Stegostoma tigrinum: one gene and its partner. The protein of the gene in region 2 interacts with the protein of the main gene of each other region in a pairwise test. Links are inferred from orthologs where the notes say so. Each region holds a gene or a part of one and is shown on either strand. Other genes may lie near its edges.

Evidence for each region.
Region 1: the proteins of tacc1 (region 2) and lsm7 interact in binary tests that used the Homo sapiens proteins (3 or more experiments, as listed by UniProt). The link is inferred for Stegostoma tigrinum from reciprocal best matches to the Homo sapiens genes TACC1 and LSM7.

Annotation. Positions count from the first base shown.
Region 1 is NC_081383.1:26,724,129-26,734,015, forward strand, and holds the start of lsm7 (U6 snRNA-associated Sm-like protein LSm7), read left to right. Parts: upstream 1-6,031; 5' UTR 6,032-6,098; coding exon 6,099-6,107; intron 6,108-6,458; coding exon 6,459-6,549; intron 6,550-7,282; coding exon 7,283-7,354; intron 7,355-9,887. Other genes in the region: sppl2 (signal peptide peptidase-like 2), read right to left, coding at 4,686-4,805, 5,769-5,816. UniProt on the Homo sapiens protein: Plays a role in pre-mRNA splicing as component of the U4/U6-U5 tri-snRNP complex that is involved in spliceosome assembly, and as component of the precatalytic spliceosome (spliceosome B complex).
Region 2 is NC_081393.1:12,116,263-12,126,555, reverse strand, and holds the start of tacc1 (transforming acidic coiled-coil-containing protein 1), read right to left. Parts: upstream 4,143-10,293; 5' UTR 3,913-4,142; coding exon 3,539-3,912; intron 1-3,538. UniProt on the Homo sapiens protein: Involved in transcription regulation induced by nuclear receptors, including in T3 thyroid hormone and all-trans retinoic acid pathways. Might promote the nuclear localization of the receptors.

The DNA of each region.
Region 1 (9,887 bases), on a different chromosome or scaffold from region 2:
AGAGAGGGCAGCTGACGTGGTGTACATGGACTTCAGTAAAGCCTTTGATAAGGTTCCACATGGTAGGCTATTGAAGAAAATACGAAGGCATGGGATTGAGGGAGATTTAGCAGTTTGGATTAGAAACTGGCTTTTTGTAACGAGTGGTGATTGATGGAAAATATTCAGCCTGGAGTCAAGTCACTAGTGGTGTGCCTCAAGGATCTGTTTTGGGACCACTGCTGTTTGTCATTTTTATAAATGGCTTGGATGCAGACATAAGTGGATGGGTTAGTAAGTTTGCAGATGACACTAAAGTCTGTGGAGTGGTGGACAGTGTGGAAAAATGTTGCAGGTTGCAGGAAGACTTGGATAAACTGCAGAATTGGTCTGAAAGGTGGCAAGTGGAGTTCAATGCAGATAAATGTGAGGTGATTCACTTTGGGAAGAATAATAGGAAGGCTGAATACTGGGTCAATGGAAAGATTCTTGGTAGTGTGGACGTGCAGAGGGATCTTGGTGTCCATGTACATAGGTCCCTGAAAGTTGCCACCCAGGTTGATAGTGCTGTTAAGAAGGCTTATGGTGTGTTAGGTTTTATTGGTAGAGGGATTAAGTTCCGGAGCCGTGATGACATGCTGCAACTGTACAAAATGCTAGTGCGGCCTCACTCGGAATATTGCATGCGGTTCTGGTTGTCCCATTACAGGAAGGATGTGGAAGCATTGGAAAAGGTGCAGAGGAGATTTACCAGGATGTTGCCTGGTCTGGAGCGCAGGATCTATGAAGAAAGTGTGAGGGACTTGGGACTTTTCTCATTGGAGAGAAGAAGGCTAAGAGGGGATTTAATAGAGACATACAAGATGATCAGAGGATTAGATAGGGTGGACAGTGAGAGTCTTTTTCCAATGATGACGACGTCAGCTTGTACGAGGGGGCATAGCTACAAATTGAGGGGTGATAGATTTAAGACAGATGTCAGAGGCAGGTTCTTTACTCAGAGAGCGGTAAGGGCGTGGAATGCCCTGCCAGCCAATGTAGTTAACTCAGCCACATTAGGGGCATTTAAACAGTCCGTGGATAAGCATACGGATAATGATGGGATAGTGCAGGGGGATGGGCTTAGATTAGTTCACAGGTCGGCGCAACATCGCTGGCCAAAGGGCCTATTCTGCGCTGTCATGTTCTATGGTCTATGTTCCTTCATTTTGCTGACAGTGATGGCAAGATTGTTGTCTTTACACCAATGCCACTAAGCAATCAATCTCTTTCCTGCATTCTGTCTCGTTATTTGAGATCGGTATATATATGATGGTCATGTCGTCATCAAACTTTTAAATGGAGTTGAAGTGGAATTTAGCCACACGGTTGAGAGTGTATAAGAAAGTAATAAGTTTCCACGAACAACTTAATTTTGGATATCACTGCCACCAAGTTTGATCCTGACTCTACACAAGATCCGGCCTACTGCACTTCTGCTCAGAGGTTCACTTAATAACAATAGAGGATAACAATGGCTCATCTTCACCAAATGCTATGGTGAATTTAACACCTCAACTGCTGCTCCCACGGTGATCAGGTGATTCCACAATTTGAAATCTGATACTTTTCTGTCTGATTTATCAGACTTTGTGTCTGCGATCTCTTATTGCAATGAAACTAAATGTCACTAAACGTCAGGAACACTGAAGCCACAGTCTTTGATCCCCACTACAAACACCATGCTAAATCATTATTTCATTCCCTTTTCCTTGTTCCGCCAAAGTCAAGCCAGGTTTGGGTATTGTATTAGGCTCCAGAATGAACTTCCAACCACATATTCACTCTATCGCCAAGACTATCTATTGCTACCTCAGCTACTTCACCTGAATTTAATGCAGATTTAGTCATCTCCTGCTGGAGTTCTCAACTATGTCTTTGTTACTGCTAGACTTCACACCTGACCTCCCATCTGCCACTGGTCATAAATTTATGCTCATCCAGAACTCTGTCACTGTATCTAAACTTACACCAAGTTCCATTCACCTACTGCCATGCTGCTTGTTTCCCTGTGTGTCAACAGTAGGAAAAATTCCTGTCCTTATTTTCAAATCCCTCTATCCTCATGCCTCTACCTATCCCTGTAATCTCTACTGGTCCCTACAAGGAATAAAGTGAATGAACTGTAAGTATATGTCACTTCTGGTGGTATGGCATGGTTGTCATCACTGAATCATGGCTGCAAGATAGTCTGGGCTAGGAATTATAGCCTGGGCATGTAATATCTACAGAAGTGATTGGCAAGATGCTAGAGGACAAGAAGTGTCTTAAAAAATAAAATAAAATATATATAAAATAGTGCAAACACTCAAAAAAATATAATGAGAGATAAGCAAGCAGTGGAGACTTTATGACTGACAAATAGAAAAGAGTTCATGACTGAAGTATAAGTTGTGTCTTGGCCTTCTGGTAGCATCTGCAATACAGTAGGCTGTACAAAGGCTCAGACATAAAAATAGAGTGAAGGCATAGTAGCTTTCATTTTCACCTAGACTGGAATAAGTAGATTAGCATGTCAGAATTGTAGTGAATCTCATAACTGCATCTACAGAAATACATCTTTGAGAAAACACTGCGCAATATTAGATTCAATAAAACCAGACTTTAGTTAACAATCTAACAGCATACAAACATTTATCTAATGGCAATCAGAACGTGATTGAGTTCAACACAGTGTTCAAAGTGGAGAAATGAGAAATTGCTATTCAGATTCTAGATTTATACGACAGTCTTCAAAGGGATGAGTTTTAGTTATAAGTCAACCATAATAAACAAAACAAATCAAATCTGCTTTTTGTCAAATGTTTTAAGAGGTGGCAAGTCAGAAAACCAAGCAGCTGAATTTTCTGATGAAAGATAGTCAGCATTGTGGATGGAAGGTTAATTGTTGAGACCTTCCTCTATTTAATATTATACTTTGAAAATGTGAGGTGAGAGCTGAAGGTCGGCTTTGGGCTGTGAGCAGCAGCCTTCTTTGTAAAGCAAAACAATAATTGACTGATGCTTGTATACAAGGCCTGGCCTAAAAGTTAATTGCAGGTTGATTCTTGTTAAAAAGTGCTCTACAGATGCTTGCACTCCAGAGAAGCATTACGCTCAAACGAATGCCACATGTTTGCCTAGTAACAGAAGCCTCACAGACAACGAGAAACCAAAGTTCAAACTGGTTTTGAACTGTATTTAAGTCGGAAGGATTTTGGCTACCACAGCTACAGGATGATTAGATTGCTGCTTGAATGTTGTCTCATACTGAAAGTTCAGGCAATAGAGTTTCAGTTATCAGAACAAAAATAAATATTCCTCAAAGCTTACTGAAGGCTATGCGCATACATCAGCATCTTCAGAAATCAAGCAAGATACAATCTCATGAGCCCGTAATGTTCTAATTGTGGAGGCTGCTTAAATGAACTGGCCAGTTACAACTCTTTTTTTTTTCTTTTTTGATTTATCTCTTAACTGTGTCTTTTTATCTTTGAGTGAGGGGCTGGAATCAAAGAAAATTAGTCTTAAAACACAGATATTAATTGGATTACATTGTGGCTTAAATTTGCTCTGATAAAGCTACTGTATTATTTAAAAATTGTGGCATGTTTTGTTTAAGCTTTAAACATGGTGTCTCAGTGTTGTGATTATTCAAAACATCTGGTTAGAAACCATTGGGGTCTACTGAGGTTCAGTGACTATTTTAATTTTCTGTGTTGTGGATACAGGGATAGGGATGATTTGGCTGGGTGTCTCTGTGTCATAACATAATATTACATAGAAATCAACAGATGAAGTGAATGGGTTAAACTGTGTCAAACGCATTTCAACTTGGCAAGCAAATATGAAACCATCCACCATGGGCCAAAACAAAAAGAGGTCAAGGAACAGTACTTACTGAAATACTAAAAAGCTAGAGATAGTACAGATCAAAATAGCTTTGGGAAATTCAGGTCCATAAATTATTGAAGTTTCACGAACAGGTACAGAACATAATCATAAAGTTGAATGGAATGCTGGCTTCTGTATGCAGAGGATTAAAATGCAAATTGGCAGATGGAACACTTTTGCAACGAAAAGGACAAATCCTTCTCCTATCTAGCTTCATACTGAAAACTACTGGGCACAAGTAGCTCGGATGCTTATCTTCCCCACAGAAACATGCTAAATGGAAGATCAGGCTAAATTAGATACGTCACCAGCCAGGTGACAGAGGAGACACACCGAAAGAACAAGCCTGCTTCCTGGTGGGATCCAACCAGTACATTTGAAACATTACAATATGAGAAGACAGAACGACAAGTTAACTAACATGTACGTACATTTTATATTTAATTTTGATTTTTTTTAAAAACCAAAGAACTCGAAATATTTTAAATTTTCACTAACATGATTTTGTTCCTTACAATTCACCTATGCCCAATCTGATGTTGCAGACTTATCTTCAACTGCACTTGCTCTAGGTCAAGAAATTAAGTAGTGCAATTAGAGGCTTTACCTGCAGCTTTGGGGGTTGAGAAGTTACATTCCCTGTCCAGGGTCCCTCCTTGGGAGGATTTCAAAGGCATATGAACCCTCCTGGAATGAGAAGCCAGGCTGAGTTCCAGATATGCACGATGACTATTCATTCTCTAAATGAGCATTCCGCAATGGATTTGCCAAAACGTCCTGTGATATACACTTACCGCCTTACTGAGATCATGAGGTAAATAGGCCCAGTAGGGATTGAACTGGATGCAGTAATCTTTTGTATTTCCATGTTCCTTATCAGATAGGACGTGGACCATTCCATACTCAGTCACCACCTGCATATTTCAGGGTAAAGTGCATCAGCAAAGCAACTCCAGAATGTATAAACAATGCCAGCCCACGTATGTCTCAAACCCACAAATAACTCAGTTCCTGAATTAACGCACTACATTTTGCGCAAGATGACTAACTGCACAATTACGCTCTTCATTTCCATTTTGATCATTGTTAATGATTTAATTCACTGTCAACAATACTGAGATAAAAGTTTCCTTGATCCAAGAGAAGAGAATATTCTACCACAAATGACGCATTTGAACCATGCATTGGAATTAACAGCCGGTTCAAGGGACTGTTTTTTGAAGGCCAGTGATTGCAATGACACATACTCTGCCCCACTCAGTGATGCAGGGAGAGGAGTAAGGGGTTAGGACATGAAGAAAAGTGCCCCAAGGGGGGGAAACATGGGGACTGTTGGAGGGGAGAGAAAGGGTTTGCGAGGATTAGGATGACAGGGAGAATTCGGATAGTAGTTGGAGCCAATAGAGGATGGTCTATAGTTAAAGGGGAATGGGGGAATAGCAGAGAAGTGTGGGGGTGTTTGTGGGAGGATTGGGGAGATTGCGGGGGATTTGGGGAGATTGAGCAGTGAGAACAATTGAGGGGCAAGGGATGGGGGATAGCGGGGGATGCAGGGATTGCAGAGGAGAATGGGGGAATAGCAGGGTGTGTGGGGTTTTGCAGAGAGGATGGGGAGACTGCGGTGGGGTGTGGGGGAGTGGGGAGACTGCAGGGTTGGAGTATGGTGATGTTGTGGGGGACAGGATGGGGTGATTGGATGGTGAGGATTGTGAAGGAAGGTGTATGGGGAATAGTGGGGGGGGAGCAGATTGGGTAGAAAGGAAAGAGGGAGATGCAGAGCTGGCCTGGGGCTGAGGGTGACAGGTGTCTAGTCGGGTCCTGGGACTTGGGGGACGGGGAGAAGGAATGGGGTGCCGGCCCGGCCCCCGGGCTGATACCTGACTGAGCTGAAGGACGAACAGCAGCAGCCTCACTCCCAGCGCCATCTTTCGGATGAGGTTCGGACCCCTCCAGAGACCACAATGGTAGCGTCCACTCAGGGTCCGAACAATCCAAACACACAAAAATAGGGGGAGCCTATTTTGAGGAAAGCCGGCGGCGAACGGCCGATTAACTTCGGTTTTGACTGGAGACCCAGAAGCGGCCGGTGCCGAGGGGAGGGACCCCTGACGGTGAGGGGCGGGGCAATGGGGCGGAGACAGCCGGAACTCGGGTCGGCTGCCGAGGTTAAAGGTCATGGGGTTGTGGGGTTAGAGGTCGTGGCCGTGATGATGGCGGTGAGTGTGTGTGTGCGGTCTTTGCTGGTGGCTGAGTTTTAAAATCTCGGGGGTTGTGTTTGGGGAAAAGAAGGCCTGTTAATGGCCCACTGGAGCCTCCGGTTACATTTATTATCTAATTCTTTCCTTGGGCCTATGAAAGTGGAACACCGGTTTTGTTATAACCCCCCCCCCCCCCCCCCCAATTTGGCGGTTTGTTCGTGGCCGTGTCAGAATCTCTGAGTGGGACCAGGTCGATTTAGCTGTCACGGAAACCTTGCGGGCTATCGGAGGCTCGGGTACCGATCACGAGAAGCTCGGATTGCAAGAATCGGGTTCTAACTTTCTTTGTTTTTGTTTCTTTGAATTCAGGATAAGGAGAAGAAAAAGAAGGAGAGTATTCTCGACCTCTCCAAGTACATAGACAAAACAATCCGTGTGAAATTTCAAGGTGGACGAGAAGGTGCAGTTTTTTAAAATTTCGTCTATATATGTTACGTAAGGTTGACTTTTACCAGACTACAACAGCTGTAGTCTTTCCCCAACCAAAATAGGCAGGCTGTTTGGACAAACGTGGTTGAGTTTGGGAAAGGCTTAGGGGCTAGGAGCAGGTAGGTGGGACTGGTTTTAGTTTGGAATTGTAGTCCACATGGACTGCCTGGACCGAATGGTCTCTTTCTGTGATTGGGAAAGATAAAAGAACTGTGATACAAATTGTATCAAACCAATAAAAAGTCAGTATAAACCACATCTTATTCCTTTAGGAGTAGTGCTGTAAGTATTGTTTTACTACTTAGTTTAAGCTGGTCAGAGGCTCCTGTAAATTCTTCAATTTGGTTAAAAAGCTGCTGAGGTCAACTTCAAAATGACTAGAATCTCTAACAATAATCTTTCACCTTCAAGACAATGAATTGGGAAATGATGTAGATACTACACTTACTGAAGAATTGTTTTAGTTCTTTGCTGTTAAATTCATAAGGTAAAATGACTTCAACTGAGAATTTGAAGCTTTACTGTTTCAGAACAGTTTCATTGGTTGTTACTGAAGTCTGCTTTGGGAAAGTTTGGGTGTTGAAGGGGAAAACAGTAAAAGATCTTGTGTATTTTGAGGTAATGTATGTTTTGACTCTTGTATAGTGTCTGATGTTGTAGTTCACTTGAAATTTGGTGAAATGTGTTTGGTTTTTTTTTGACAGCTAGTGGGATTCTGAAAGGATTTGACCCACTCCTCAATCTTGTATTGGATGGAACAATAGAGTATGTGAGAGGTAAGCCCCAAAGATGTTCCTAGTTTTTATAACTTGATGGACAATCTATGAAACAAAAATTGTGAAGTGTATTCTAGACTACAAAAGTGTAGAGTTGGATGGACACAGCAGGATCCGAGGAGCAGGAAGGCTGACATTTTGGGCCCAGCATCTGCAGTTCCTACTATCTCTGTCTGTAAAGTGACTTCCAGTTTTTCTGATTTGAAAAACATTGTATGACTTTTGATTTTAGTTTTTTTTTGCATAGCTCCTCTTCTCTTTATCATCTTCCCTTCTAAACACTTTTGTATGCAGCTTAATTTTCAGCTGTATTTTCTACCTGCTAGTTACCATAAACACTTTTTTTTTCTGTTTTTTTTATCCAAAGAGCTCTGGATTTTTCTTTTGCTGTATTTTTGTGAGGAAATATACATTGTGCCAGAACCCTTTTTTTTTTGTTTTAATCTATCTTTTGGAAGGCATCTTATTGCACATGTAATCTTTCACTCTGCCCTTTTGATCCAGACTAACAAGAACAAGTCTGTTCTTGCCCCATTAAAGTCTGCTCTGTCTAATTATCCTTAGTTTGCTTTGTCTCTTGTTGCCACGGTCCTCCCAAATTTCATGATACAATGATCACTGTACCTTTTTTTAAAGGTTACCCTACTGATACTACTTCCTAAGAAGTAAGTCCAGCAGTGCTTTCTTTTTTAACTTGTTGCATTGATGTACTGCTGTTGGAAATTCTTTTAAATGCATTCCAAGAATGTATGTTTGTTTGCTTTTCTCTTTTTCCTAACTACCACTATTCCAACTTCAATTGGAGTAATTGAAATCTCCCACATACTCTTTGCTTGCATTATTCTGTAATTTCCTTACTGATTTGTTCCTCTACATCCCTATTACTAACTGGTGGCCTGTAAACTACACCCAGCAATATAATGGACTCCCCTTGTACCTTTTGCTCCAGCCAAGTTGATTCTGTCCTTGAAGCCTTTTTTTTCCTCCCAAGCAGCTGTCCTTCACCAAGATTACCACTGCGTTGCTTTCTTGCTTTACCCTCTCCCTGTAACTAGGAATGTTTAGTACTTAGTTCAGCCTTTCCTTTGCCCAGCCTGTTATTGCCACAGTATTATAACTCAATGTGGCGATCTGTACTTGTAACTTGTCAATCCTGTTTACTTCCATTCATATGCACAGTTGTAATTTCTCCCTTTAATCCAGTTATTAATTTGTTCTACACTCTAATCTTTTAATGAGCTTTCTAAATTCTTACTACAGGACTACATCACCACTCATTTCTACATAAATACCAATGTAGACCATGATCTGCAGTTGAACGCATCCCTCGGGAAGAATGTCCTGTAATTACTTTGTGACATTCTTGATTCTAACACCTGTGAAAGAAAATGCATTGCTGGCATCACATCTTTGACTGCAGAAATGTCTCTAGTCTCCTAACAAATCAGTTCCTTTTTAACTGCTGCTTTCCCCCTTTTCCTTCCTTCCCTCCCAAATAGCTGGCTCACTCATGTTGCCATAGGCTTAGCATCTCCTCTGAAAACCTTTACCATTATCAGAATGAAAACTGATTCTTGAGTTAAACCCCTGCATTGTCTTCCTGGTTCTCTTGGACTGTCTGATAGTCACATGTTCCTGATCTGCCTGCATGCCTCTAACCTACACTTATACTGGCTCTGTGAACATGCTGTCTGTAACTTGCAGCCTCGTGGATGCAATGCAGTTGGTCTGCTTTCTGTAACTAGTGGTACTTGTATATATTCTTCCAGGTCATTTTCAGGATTCTAGATGAATAAACTCGCAGTTCTCCCACAGGTATTGCTTTTCTTAAACTTGGTGCTTTCATACAGCTTCTCAGCTCCTTGTCCCCAAGTCTTTGTAAGTGATCAGAAGTGTCAGACATTAAGTAAAGTGTCAAAAATTGAAGGGATCTCCTGTAATCCAATTAATTGAGGTAGAGGTGTAATTAGAATTTTTTAAAAATTCTGTTTGGAGACAAACCAAGCAGCTGGAATAACATGGGTATAAAAGTCACACACCAAGGGTCTAACCAAAGTAACAAGTAATCCAAAACTCTACAAATTAAGGTAGAGGGAGATCCTCAGAAGTTATAAAGGTGATCGTGTCCAAAAGGGCAAGTAAGGAAGATTTTTTTTTACAGTTGCAGAGCAGTTATGGGTTTGCATGTAGTGTGACATGAAGCCAAGATCACAGTTGAGGGTGCCTTCATGGGCATGGAACTTGGCCATCAGTTTCTGCTTTGCCATTCAGTGTAAATCCAGAATTGATTATTCCAGCATACATGTCACCTGCCTTCCATGTTATGACATCCATAAACTTGCCATCCAAAATTCTACTGCCTGTTGTCACTGACACCTAGTCCAATCTGGGCAGTAGCATGGTGTTATTTGAAAATTTGGCTGCCACTTCAATTTCTCTATTCTCCCTATCATGATGATCTCTCGGTCCTTACAACCCTTTCATCAGTATTATAATTCTGGCCTCTTTGAGCTATGTTTGTTTTTGTTGTTGC
Region 2 (10,293 bases):
TGCTCAGTGGACCAGCTGAAAGTGCTGGCCTCTGACACTGTAAATCCTCCTCAGTCCCACCTGTCCTTCCTAGGGTTGATCACATCATCACATATTCAAGTAGAACTACTTCATTCAGCCAAGCAGATAAACTAATTACTCAGGTAGCCGCTCCCTGTAGTAAACGCCACTCTGCTCCTGTACGTGGATCTCACTGACTGTGAGTTCCCTGATTGGGATTGCTAACCTGGGCTAATCAGGGACCCCTGGCTAATAGATATAAACAAGAGTGTCAGGGATTCTCCTCACTCTAGGGACTGGCTCTGGGCAGGCTGGTCAGAGTCCATGTACGATGCGCACGTAAATAAAGGGATGTTTGGTGACAGGACACCAGCCTCTGTGGAGTTATTTTAGCTCCCTTACCTACCCTCTAGTAGCCTTTCACTACACTCCCCCACATTGCAAACTTCTCTATGTGCACCACCGTCTAACATTTGATAGCCCCACCCCTGTTTGTGCCTTTCCCCCACCTACAGCCCTTCCTTTCCTCCCTCCCATACCCTTTTGTGCCTCAATGATTTCCTGGCATCTCTTCCACAGCAAAAACATCACACCCAGCGCAGAATACAACTGAGGTCACATGCAACAGACCATGAAGACATTGGAATGCCTTTGTGAGTACATTGTGTTTCAGCACAGTTTGGGAAGCTGAGAAACAACATGCCCAAATGTAGAGCGGCTGGATGACAAGATCCAACTGTAGGAAGGGTCGATGTTGTATTTGCTTTGTGACATAGACCAGAGTCTTGGGGGTCCCAAACAGCACAGCTGAGGAACGGTGGATTGAGTTCCAAATGACTGCTTGTGTCTCACCCCCTTGTCTGCCAATACACTGAAGAAGGGTCTCGACCCGAAACGTCAGCCTTCCTGCTCCTCTGATGCTGCTTGGCCTGCTGTGTTCATCCAGCTCTACACCTTGTTATAACAAATTTCAAATCCACTTTCTTACCATTTCCCCAAAACTCTCGATTCCCTTACTGATTAAAAACCTATCTCAGCCTTGAATAGACTTAATGACCCAGCCTCAACAAGACCTCTGCGGTACCAAATTCCACAGATTCACTAGCCTCCGAGAGAAAAAAATTCCTCCTCATTCTCTAAAATAGATGACCCCCTTAATCCGAGATGGTGTCCTCTGGTCCTCCACTTCCCCGTGCAGAGAAACAACTGTTACACATCAATTCTGTCAAGCCCCCAAGAATCTTTTTGAAGGTTTCATTAGCTGTCTCTCATTCTTCTAAACTCCAATGAGTACAAGCCCAACCTATTCAACCTGGCCTCATACATCAGTCCGTCCATACCTGGGATCAGCCTGGTGAACCTTCTCTGGACTACCTGAATGCCAGTATATTTTTTCTTAAATAAAGGGATCAAAGCTGTTCACAGTATTCTGAAATGTGGTGTCCTGAGACCCTTGTCTAGTTTTAGCAAAGACTTCCCCATATTTATACATCATTCCCTTTGAAATGACAACGAATATTGTCCTTCACTGTTACCTGCTGAAGTTGTATCCATAAGGAATCCAAAATCCTTCTGCAGTCTTTATCCATTTAAATAACATTCAGCTCTTCTGTTCTTCCTACCAAGGGACGTATCCTCACATTTTCCCGCATTGTATTCCACCTGCCAAGTTTTTTGCTGACTCATGTTTTCCAGGGTATCTCGATGCAGCAATGTTAGATAGCATCACTTCTCATTACATTAAAATTGAGATGCAGGAACATAATATGAAAACTCCAACATATATTAATCCAACTCACAAAACGAAACAAATATTACATTAACAGGTGACTTCCATGTCTGGGCTAACCTTCAGCCATTCAGTTACAAAGAGTTAATCAGCGTGTCAAGCTTCAAGTGGCCCAAGTTAAAACGGAGTCAAGACCTTTATACCCTCAGGCCACATGCTGTGACATAGTCATGATATCCTGAGCTTGTCTCTGATCAAAATACTGACCAAGAGACATACACAACAGTCTCCATCCTCCCTGATTGAAACACCTTCATCCCGTCCCTTTCCCACTATGTAAATAATCAATGAGTCATCCAGCCCATCAATACAGACAAGATAGATCAACACTTGCTCGTTTTAGGGCTAAGCTCACTTGATGGAGCCTGGAACTGTACAATGAGCAGAGCTGCTGTTGCACAAGTTGCGGTGCAGGTGAAAACATGTTTGGATTGCATCTTGCACATTGTCCTGAAAGCAAACAGTTGGATTCATTTTCCCCTGAGATATTACCTTGTTCTTCAGTTCCCCACACAGCCACCATGCCTGACAAAGGGCAAAGTGCACACTGACTGTTCAACCGACCATTTTCAAAGTAATTTTATGAACAGAGCATCTACGACAGTCATGACATACATCTCTTTGCAAATTCACTCCCTTTGTCGAATAGCAGGCACTTCACTTGGAAACTGACAAAGCAAATAAGAACGCTGAGAGAGGAGGTGCATAACATTAATAGAGAGCTGCCACTCTTGTTATGGATGCTGGGATAGGTTTACCTCCATCCAGAGTGTTCATTTTCCATCAAAACTGTGGGATTGCCATGGACTTGGGAGCAGACTGGGTCAGGTGATTTTGAGGCCTTGTGAAAAGCTCCGGCTGTTGATTGGATCTGGTCACCCGGTTCTTTCCCCCTGAGGTTAATATCCCTGGCAGGCCACATGACCACAAAGATCCCTCAATATTCTCCACTCCGCAGGGTAAAAGCTCAGTCAAAATGTACTTCTCAAAGCAAGAGTTAACAAGAGGAGATAAAAGGGTTAAAGGAACAGCAGTAACACTGCAGCAAGTCTGTTGTGGATTTACATTTTCTATGCTAGTGCTTGAAGTTTATTATCAATTATGAACACTGATATAACCCAGCTGGGTGCAGTTGAACTTGGAAGAGGTGTCTGTAAAGGCACATGAGCAGTTTCTTCTTGTAAACAAGAGTGTGACTGAAACTCATGACATTGCAGTGCACCACAAGCTGGATCAGTCAATCAAGACCAGCCAACATGGGTCTGGATCAGAATTCTCATCTTTCCAAAATAGAATTCCTTCAGTGAATGGATGGGGAAACTGGGGCACTTCCTCCCTGTAATGAAATGAATGTCAAACAGACTAGGCCTAGTGGCTCATGAATAATTTTTAGAAAAGAAATGAAAACAGAAGCGAGACAATGATAGAATCTTTTTGAACAGACAAGCTGACCTTGATTTGCTGGTTCCCACTGATACCACTCACAGCTCACCCTGTTCTCAGATCTTTGCAACATGGATAAATTCTCAAAATAAGGGATGGTACAAGAAAAAAACACATTGACCAGAACATACATTAGATGAACACCACATATGATACACTTGCATTTAAAACGGAATTAGCCACTCAAGCCTGTATGCAGTGGCTGAGCAAATGACACTTAAAAAGAAAGAGATAGACTAAAATCGAATTGGTAACTAGTTACTCCCGCATTGAAACTGAAAGATGGTTAGATGATGGGTGACTTACATGCTGGCCTTCTCTTTTAAAGGTCTCACCCCTCCCTTGAGCTGGTGCTGGGACTGAGACCCTCCCATTCTGAATTTTTTGTCAGTGGTCGCAGAGATGCCCGTGATGCTGAAAGAGGCTCTCACAGAGTCACACACACACAGACACAGAGAGCCTTCAATGCTGCAGTGGGACTGCAGCTCCTGCATTGACGGCTTGAGTTCTTCGGGCTGCTGAACTCTTGCCAGATCCTGAACCAATCGCATGCCAGCAACGTCGCCTTGAGCCAAGGCTGCACATAACTGGACAGTGCAAAAAAACACAATAGACTCAAATAAAGTCACTGGAGAGGAATTCGAGAGTCCCTGGGACTTGGCTGCGGGGTAAAAACTCATCCAGATTACAGCGGGATGTGTGTTCGAAGTTGCTGTCTGAAAGTAGTAAAGGCTTTCTCTCCGTGATTACATTCCGGGGCACACGAGGCTTCTCCCAAAGAATGCCTGACCACAAGGGTGCGTTTCTTTATCTCTCTCGCGTTGATGTTTCTCTACCTCAGGAACAAAATGGGCTGTCCCAGCCAGCACATTCCAAGCCCGCAAACAGACAGCACTTTGCCCTGCAGGACGAGTGCGTGTGCAGCAAGCTCAGTGAGCAAGGGCAGAATTAGTATATAGATTCACCAAATGCCCCCGTGCAATTCCGTCACTGAGTTCGAGCTGCTGCTTTCTGTTCAAGGAAGGAAGTTACACATTCTTTGCAGATTTCCAGCCCAACCCTGGCTACTCTCATGCTGCAGAACAGCAGGTTAAAAACAAATGATGTTAGCATTTTTTGCTAAGGCAAAGAGTGAGTTGTATTACGAGATAGGTATTGGCCTAAGCGTTGCAATGTCCATTTTGCTGGTACTAAAGCGATTATCTGCTGACAGATTTATCTGCGTCCAGTCTGAAAAGGGCTTGCTGGACATCTAATTTAGGATTAAACACTGACATCTTTCTGCTGGATGAATGAAACAACCTGTTGTAAGTCTACCGCATCCCAAAACCAGCCCAGATAATAAAATGTGAGGCTGGATGAACACAGCAGGCCAAGCAGCATCTCAGGAGCACAAAAGCTGACGTTTCGGGCCTAGACCCTTCATCAGAGAGGGGGATGGGGGGAGGGAACTGGAATAAATAGGGAGAGAGGGGGAGGCGGACCGAAGATGGAGAGTAAAGAAGATAGGTGGAGAGGGTGTAGGTGGGGAGGTAGGGAGGGGATAGGTCAGTCCTGCTTGGCCTGCTGTGTTCATCCAGCCTCACATTTTATTATCTCGGAATCTCCAGCATCTGCAGTTCCCATTATCTCCAAAACCAGCCCAGTTCGTCCCCTCCCCCCACTGCATCACACAACCAGCCCAGCTCTTCCCCTCCCCCTACTGCATCCCAAAACCAGTCCAGCCTGTCTCTGCCTCCCTAACCTGTTCTTCCTCTCACCCATCCCTTTGTCCCACCTCAAGCCGCGCCTCCATCTCCTACCTACTAACCTCATCCCACCTCCTTGACCTGTCCGTCTTCCCTGGACTGACCTATCCCCTCCCTACCTCCCCACCTATACTCTCCTCTCCACCTATCTTCTTTTCTCTCCATCTTCAGTCCGCCTCCCCCTCTTTATTTATTCCAGTTCCTTCTCCCCATCCCCCTCTCTGATGAAGGGTCTAGGCCCGAAACGTAAGCTTTTGTGCTCCTGAGATGCTGCTTGGCCTGCTGTGTTCATCCAGCTTCACACTTTGTTATCTTGGATTCTCCAGCATCTGCAGTTCCCATTATCTCTGTTGTAAGTCTCCATTGTCAGAAGCGGATGAGCACCCATAAGTGGGTAGAAATTGGCTAAATGCTTTGTAGAGTTGAGAGCACTTTCCTCCATTTGAGTTGAGGTTGGAAGTTTATTCCCCTGACAACAAAGTGCAAGGGAAACATTTTGGCTCAGAGATGGTCTGGTATTTGCATTCAAGCAGTCGCATTAAGTCATTAACCTGGTCACCAGAAACCAGCACCTCCACATGAGAATGCTTCCTTGGATTGTGGCAGTTTGGCAATGTTGTGGCTTGAAGAGGTGTGTTTTGTCTTGATTCCTTTTAGACTGAGATTGGGCGGCAGGCACCAGGTAGTCTATGAGAAGATAAACTTGTGAAGCCATGGATTTTTTTTAATCAGTTGGAACAATAGAAGTGGCCTGAAAGGGTGGGGTCAGGTTCCCATCCACAGAACCAGGGATTTTAGTTTTAGCTTTCAGCAGTTGTTGTTGGAATCTGGAAGAAATTAAAGGCATTTTTACCTTCTCTCGGTTACAGCCAAATTCTAGAGGTTCTCTGTCTGTTAATAGAGTTGTGTATGAGACAATCTACGTTCTGAATTTGGATTTTGCCAAGGGTGTGTTTGTGGGATGTTGCAATATTGGACAAGGTAATTGTTACTGTATCTATTATTGTGTTAAGTTTTCCAATAGAGTTAAGTTATTCCAATGACAAAAATAGAAATTGCTGGAAAAGCTCAGCCAGTCTGGCAACATTTGTGGAGAGATTTCAGAGTTAACATTTTGGGTCGAGTGATCCTGCCTCAGAACTGAAGGGAAGGCTCACTCAACCCGAAACGTGAACTGTGTTTTCTCTTAATAGATGCTGTCAGACCTGCTGAGCTTTTACAGCAATTTCTATGTTTGTCTCTGACTTTTAACTTCTGTAGTTCTTTCAGTTTTTATTTTGTAAGTTATTCCAATTCCTTTATTCTTTTGTTGTGTTTTAATGATAGGAGATGAATAAAGTGTATTTTGCTTTAAATGAGAAGATAAATCAGAAGTAGTCTGAACAAACAAATTGCATCTCGAACACAACACCTTACATTTAGCTTCAAAATCAGAAAAGGTTTGGGTCTAGTCCATCTTCTGAGGGGTTTTGGTGTGGTCCATAACAGGAAAGCTCGGTCTGCAGACTCAGCTCAGTCATATGACAAGTTGTTCAGGTACTTTTTTTTGGCAGACACTTTACTTCCGAGCTGCCACCCATTAGCTGGCACCTTCACATGGCTGGCACTGGGAACTGTGTGCTAAAGGACAGTTGCTTTGCACGTCATACATGCAGGTTGGGAGGATTAAATCAATAATCAGCAGAAAGTCTGTGTTTTCAGTGTGTGAGCATCCAGGAAAAGGTGACAGATGTGATGCCATCTGTTCAGAATGAAAAAGCCAAAAACCAACCCACGGTAACTTCAGGTGCAGCATATGAGGTTAACAGCCACCTGGTAACTGCGTCATCAGATCTCATGGGCCCCTGGTACCTGGCAAGGAGAAGATTGCAGTTCAGTTCAGCTCTACCGTGCTTCTGTCTGTGTGGACAATATTTAACACTTGTTTAATTTGGACAAGCTTGGAGACCAGCCCAGCCATGCATATCTCCCAGAACCTGCTTGTGACATTCCTACATCAGGCAGACTGATCCTGTTTCGTGCACACAAAAGGCCAATTGATTCATGTGTTACTGTACCATCACACCCAATGTGTGCTTGTGTATTCACTATCAGTCTCTGCCACTGTTTTTCTCCTGTCTCTCAGATGATGGGCAATATGTTGCACTTAGAATTGGATTCACCAATTATATATACACATCCGTACAACACACACAGGTTATGTGTGTATAAAAACATTCTTCCATGGCAGTGCCCAGATCAATCAGAAGTGAACTGACAACTAATCAAAACCTTTTTCACACATAGTACAAATTGTTGTTCCCTTTCAAATTTGAAATTCTTGCAATTCTGTCCAGATGAGTGCCAAACAAGAGAAACTTAAACAACATCCCTCTATTTTCAGCAAAGGTCAACTCTTTCTAAAACAAAATTCAGATGGTTGACTCATGAATATAACTTAAAAAGGCTTATAACAACAACATCATCTTGCATATATGTCATGCCTTTAAAACAGTAAGGTGTCCCAAATTGTTTCACAGCTGCATCAGCAAACGAAATTTGACACCAGTCACAAAATGATTCAGATGGAAGACGTCGGTTTTAAGGAAGGTATTAAAAGATGAGAGGCAGGTGGAGAGAGAAATGAGGGTACAAGTTTCAACATTTTACAAGCAGGAGCTGAAGGAATGCTCACCATTGCGTGTGTCATTGAATCTTGCAATACTTAAGAGGCCAGAGTTAGAAGCCAGCAGATATCTTGAGGAGCTGTGGGTTGGTGGAGGTTAAAGCGATCCAGAGAGATGGAGGGATGTGAAAACCCAGGATGAAAGCACAAAATATTTTTCTTTGTTGCCGGTGCTCCGAGGATACTTGATCGTTAAGCTTATTGCATTATTGTAGGCATTGAAACTTTCTAGACTAGATTCCCTACAGTGTGGAAACAGGCCCTTCTGCCCCACAAGTCCACACTGCCCCTTGAAGCATCCCACTCAGACTCATCCTCCTATAACCCACACACCCCTGAACACTATGGGCAATTTATCATAGTCGATCTACCTAGCCTGCACATCTTTTGGACTGTGGGAGAAAACCGGAGCATCCAGAGGAAACCCACGCAGACACAGGGAGAATGTGCAAACTCCACACAGACAGTCGCCCGAGGCTGGAATCGAACCTGGGTCCCTGGCGCTGTGAGGCTGCAATGCTAACCACTGAGCCACCGTGCCGCCCCGTGTCTCAGTCCTAAAATGGTAACAGGGTTTCACTCCCTGAGGGAAGCCCAAACATATAAGTGGATCTGTCGCTGTTGTTGCAAGTCCAGCATTGACAGTGGGAAATGTCGTCATCACTCAACTCTGCACCAAGACTGTCCATTCTTATGACTGGCTGACAGAACAAGATGTACTGATAATCCATGAAAGATAAACATTCCCTTTTCATTATTTACTTCAGCGTTAACAATTGTTCAAAATAATGGAAAGAGGAAGGAAGTGAAACAAGACACACTTACGAGAATGAGTTCAGGTGATCAGAGAGCAGGAAGAGGAAGTCTTTGTACCATAAAGGCAGAGGGGGGTTCACTGTTTTGTGACAAGTGCTGACTTTGGCACTGTTACCAGTCCTTCCTTTCAAACAGCCTTGTTATATGCTATGCTAATTGTTGTATGAAGTGTCATGAGAACTAAAGGAGGGATTTGCATTTATATTGAGCTTTTGTTAGCTTTAAACCACCATTTTCAACATTCAGTCCTGTCACCACAGATGCACTGCAGAAATTCAACACGGCTCCATCAACAGCATGACAGCATTCCTAAAATAGGGAAAAACTGAGAGGGAGAAGTGGGGGAGCGAATAAAAGCAACAGCTTATCAGAGAAAAGGTACTTGGAAAATAAAAGGGTCTGAAGATCAATACATCATCTCGAAATGATGGTTTGCATCCTATGAACTGAAACAAAATAGCAACAGAGATAATGGATTCAGTTTTAGTAATCTTCCAAGAATCCTCATGTTCTGGTAAAGTTCCAGAGGTTGGAAGATTGCCAACATAATACACTTGTTCAAAACATGGAGGAAGACAAAAAGAAAAGTTAACTATAGACCTGTTAGCTCAATATCTATCACTGGGGAAATGTTAGATTAACATAACAGAAAAAACAGAGCAGCACTTAGAAACAGGTAACAAGCAGAGTCAGGATTTGAACATGACATTCAGATCATTCCTGACTAATTTCCAGGAAATATTTGACAAGGTGATAATCATGTGACAACAACATGGCTTGATTTCACAAAGGAACTTCTGATAAGATGGTGGGATGGGAGGACGCTTTGCATGTCTTTATCTCTTCCTCGTTTCTCTCCCCATGCTCAGCCTCAGACTTACAGGCCCGGCCTCTGTCTCCCAGTCTCCAATGTAAGATTGAAGGTCAGCGCCTCAAAGCAGGGACACACTGACCGACAGCCCGGGGCAGGGACACACTGACCAACAGCCTGGGGCAGGGACACAGTGACCGACAGAATGGGGCAGGGACACAGTGACCGACAGAATGGGGCAGGGACACACTGACCAACAGCCCGGGGCAGGGACACACTGACCAACAGCCTGGGGCAGGGACACACTGACCGACAGAATGGGGCAGGGACACAGTGACCGACAGCCCGGGGCAGGGACACACTGACCGACAGCCCGGGGCAGGGACACACTGACCGACAGAATGGGGCAGGGACACAGTGACCGACAGAATGAGGCAGGGACACAGTGACCGACAGAATGGGGCAGGGACACACTGACCGACAGCCCGGGGCAGGGACACAGTGACCGACAGAATGGGGCAGGGACACACTGACCGACAGCCCGGGGCAGGGACACACTGACCGACAGAATGGGGCAGGGACACACTGACCGACAGCCTGGAGCAGGGACACACTGACCGACAGCCCGGGGCAGGGACACAGTGACCGACAGCCCGGGGCAGGGACACACTGACCGACAGAATGGGGCAGGGACACAGTGACCGACAGCCTGGGGCAGGGACACACTGACCAACAGCCTGGAGCAGGGACACACTGACCGACAGCCCGGGGCAGGGACACACTGACCGACAGCCCGGGGCAGGGACACAGTGACCGACAGCCCGGGGCAGGGACACAGTGACCGACAGAATGGGGCAGGGACACAGTGACGGACAGCCTGGGGCAGGGACACACTGACCGACAGCCCGGGGCAGGGACACAGTGACCGACAGCCCGGGGCAGGGACACAGTGACCGACAGAATGGGGCAGGGACACAGTGACCGACAGAATGGGGCAGGGACACACTGACCGACAGAATGG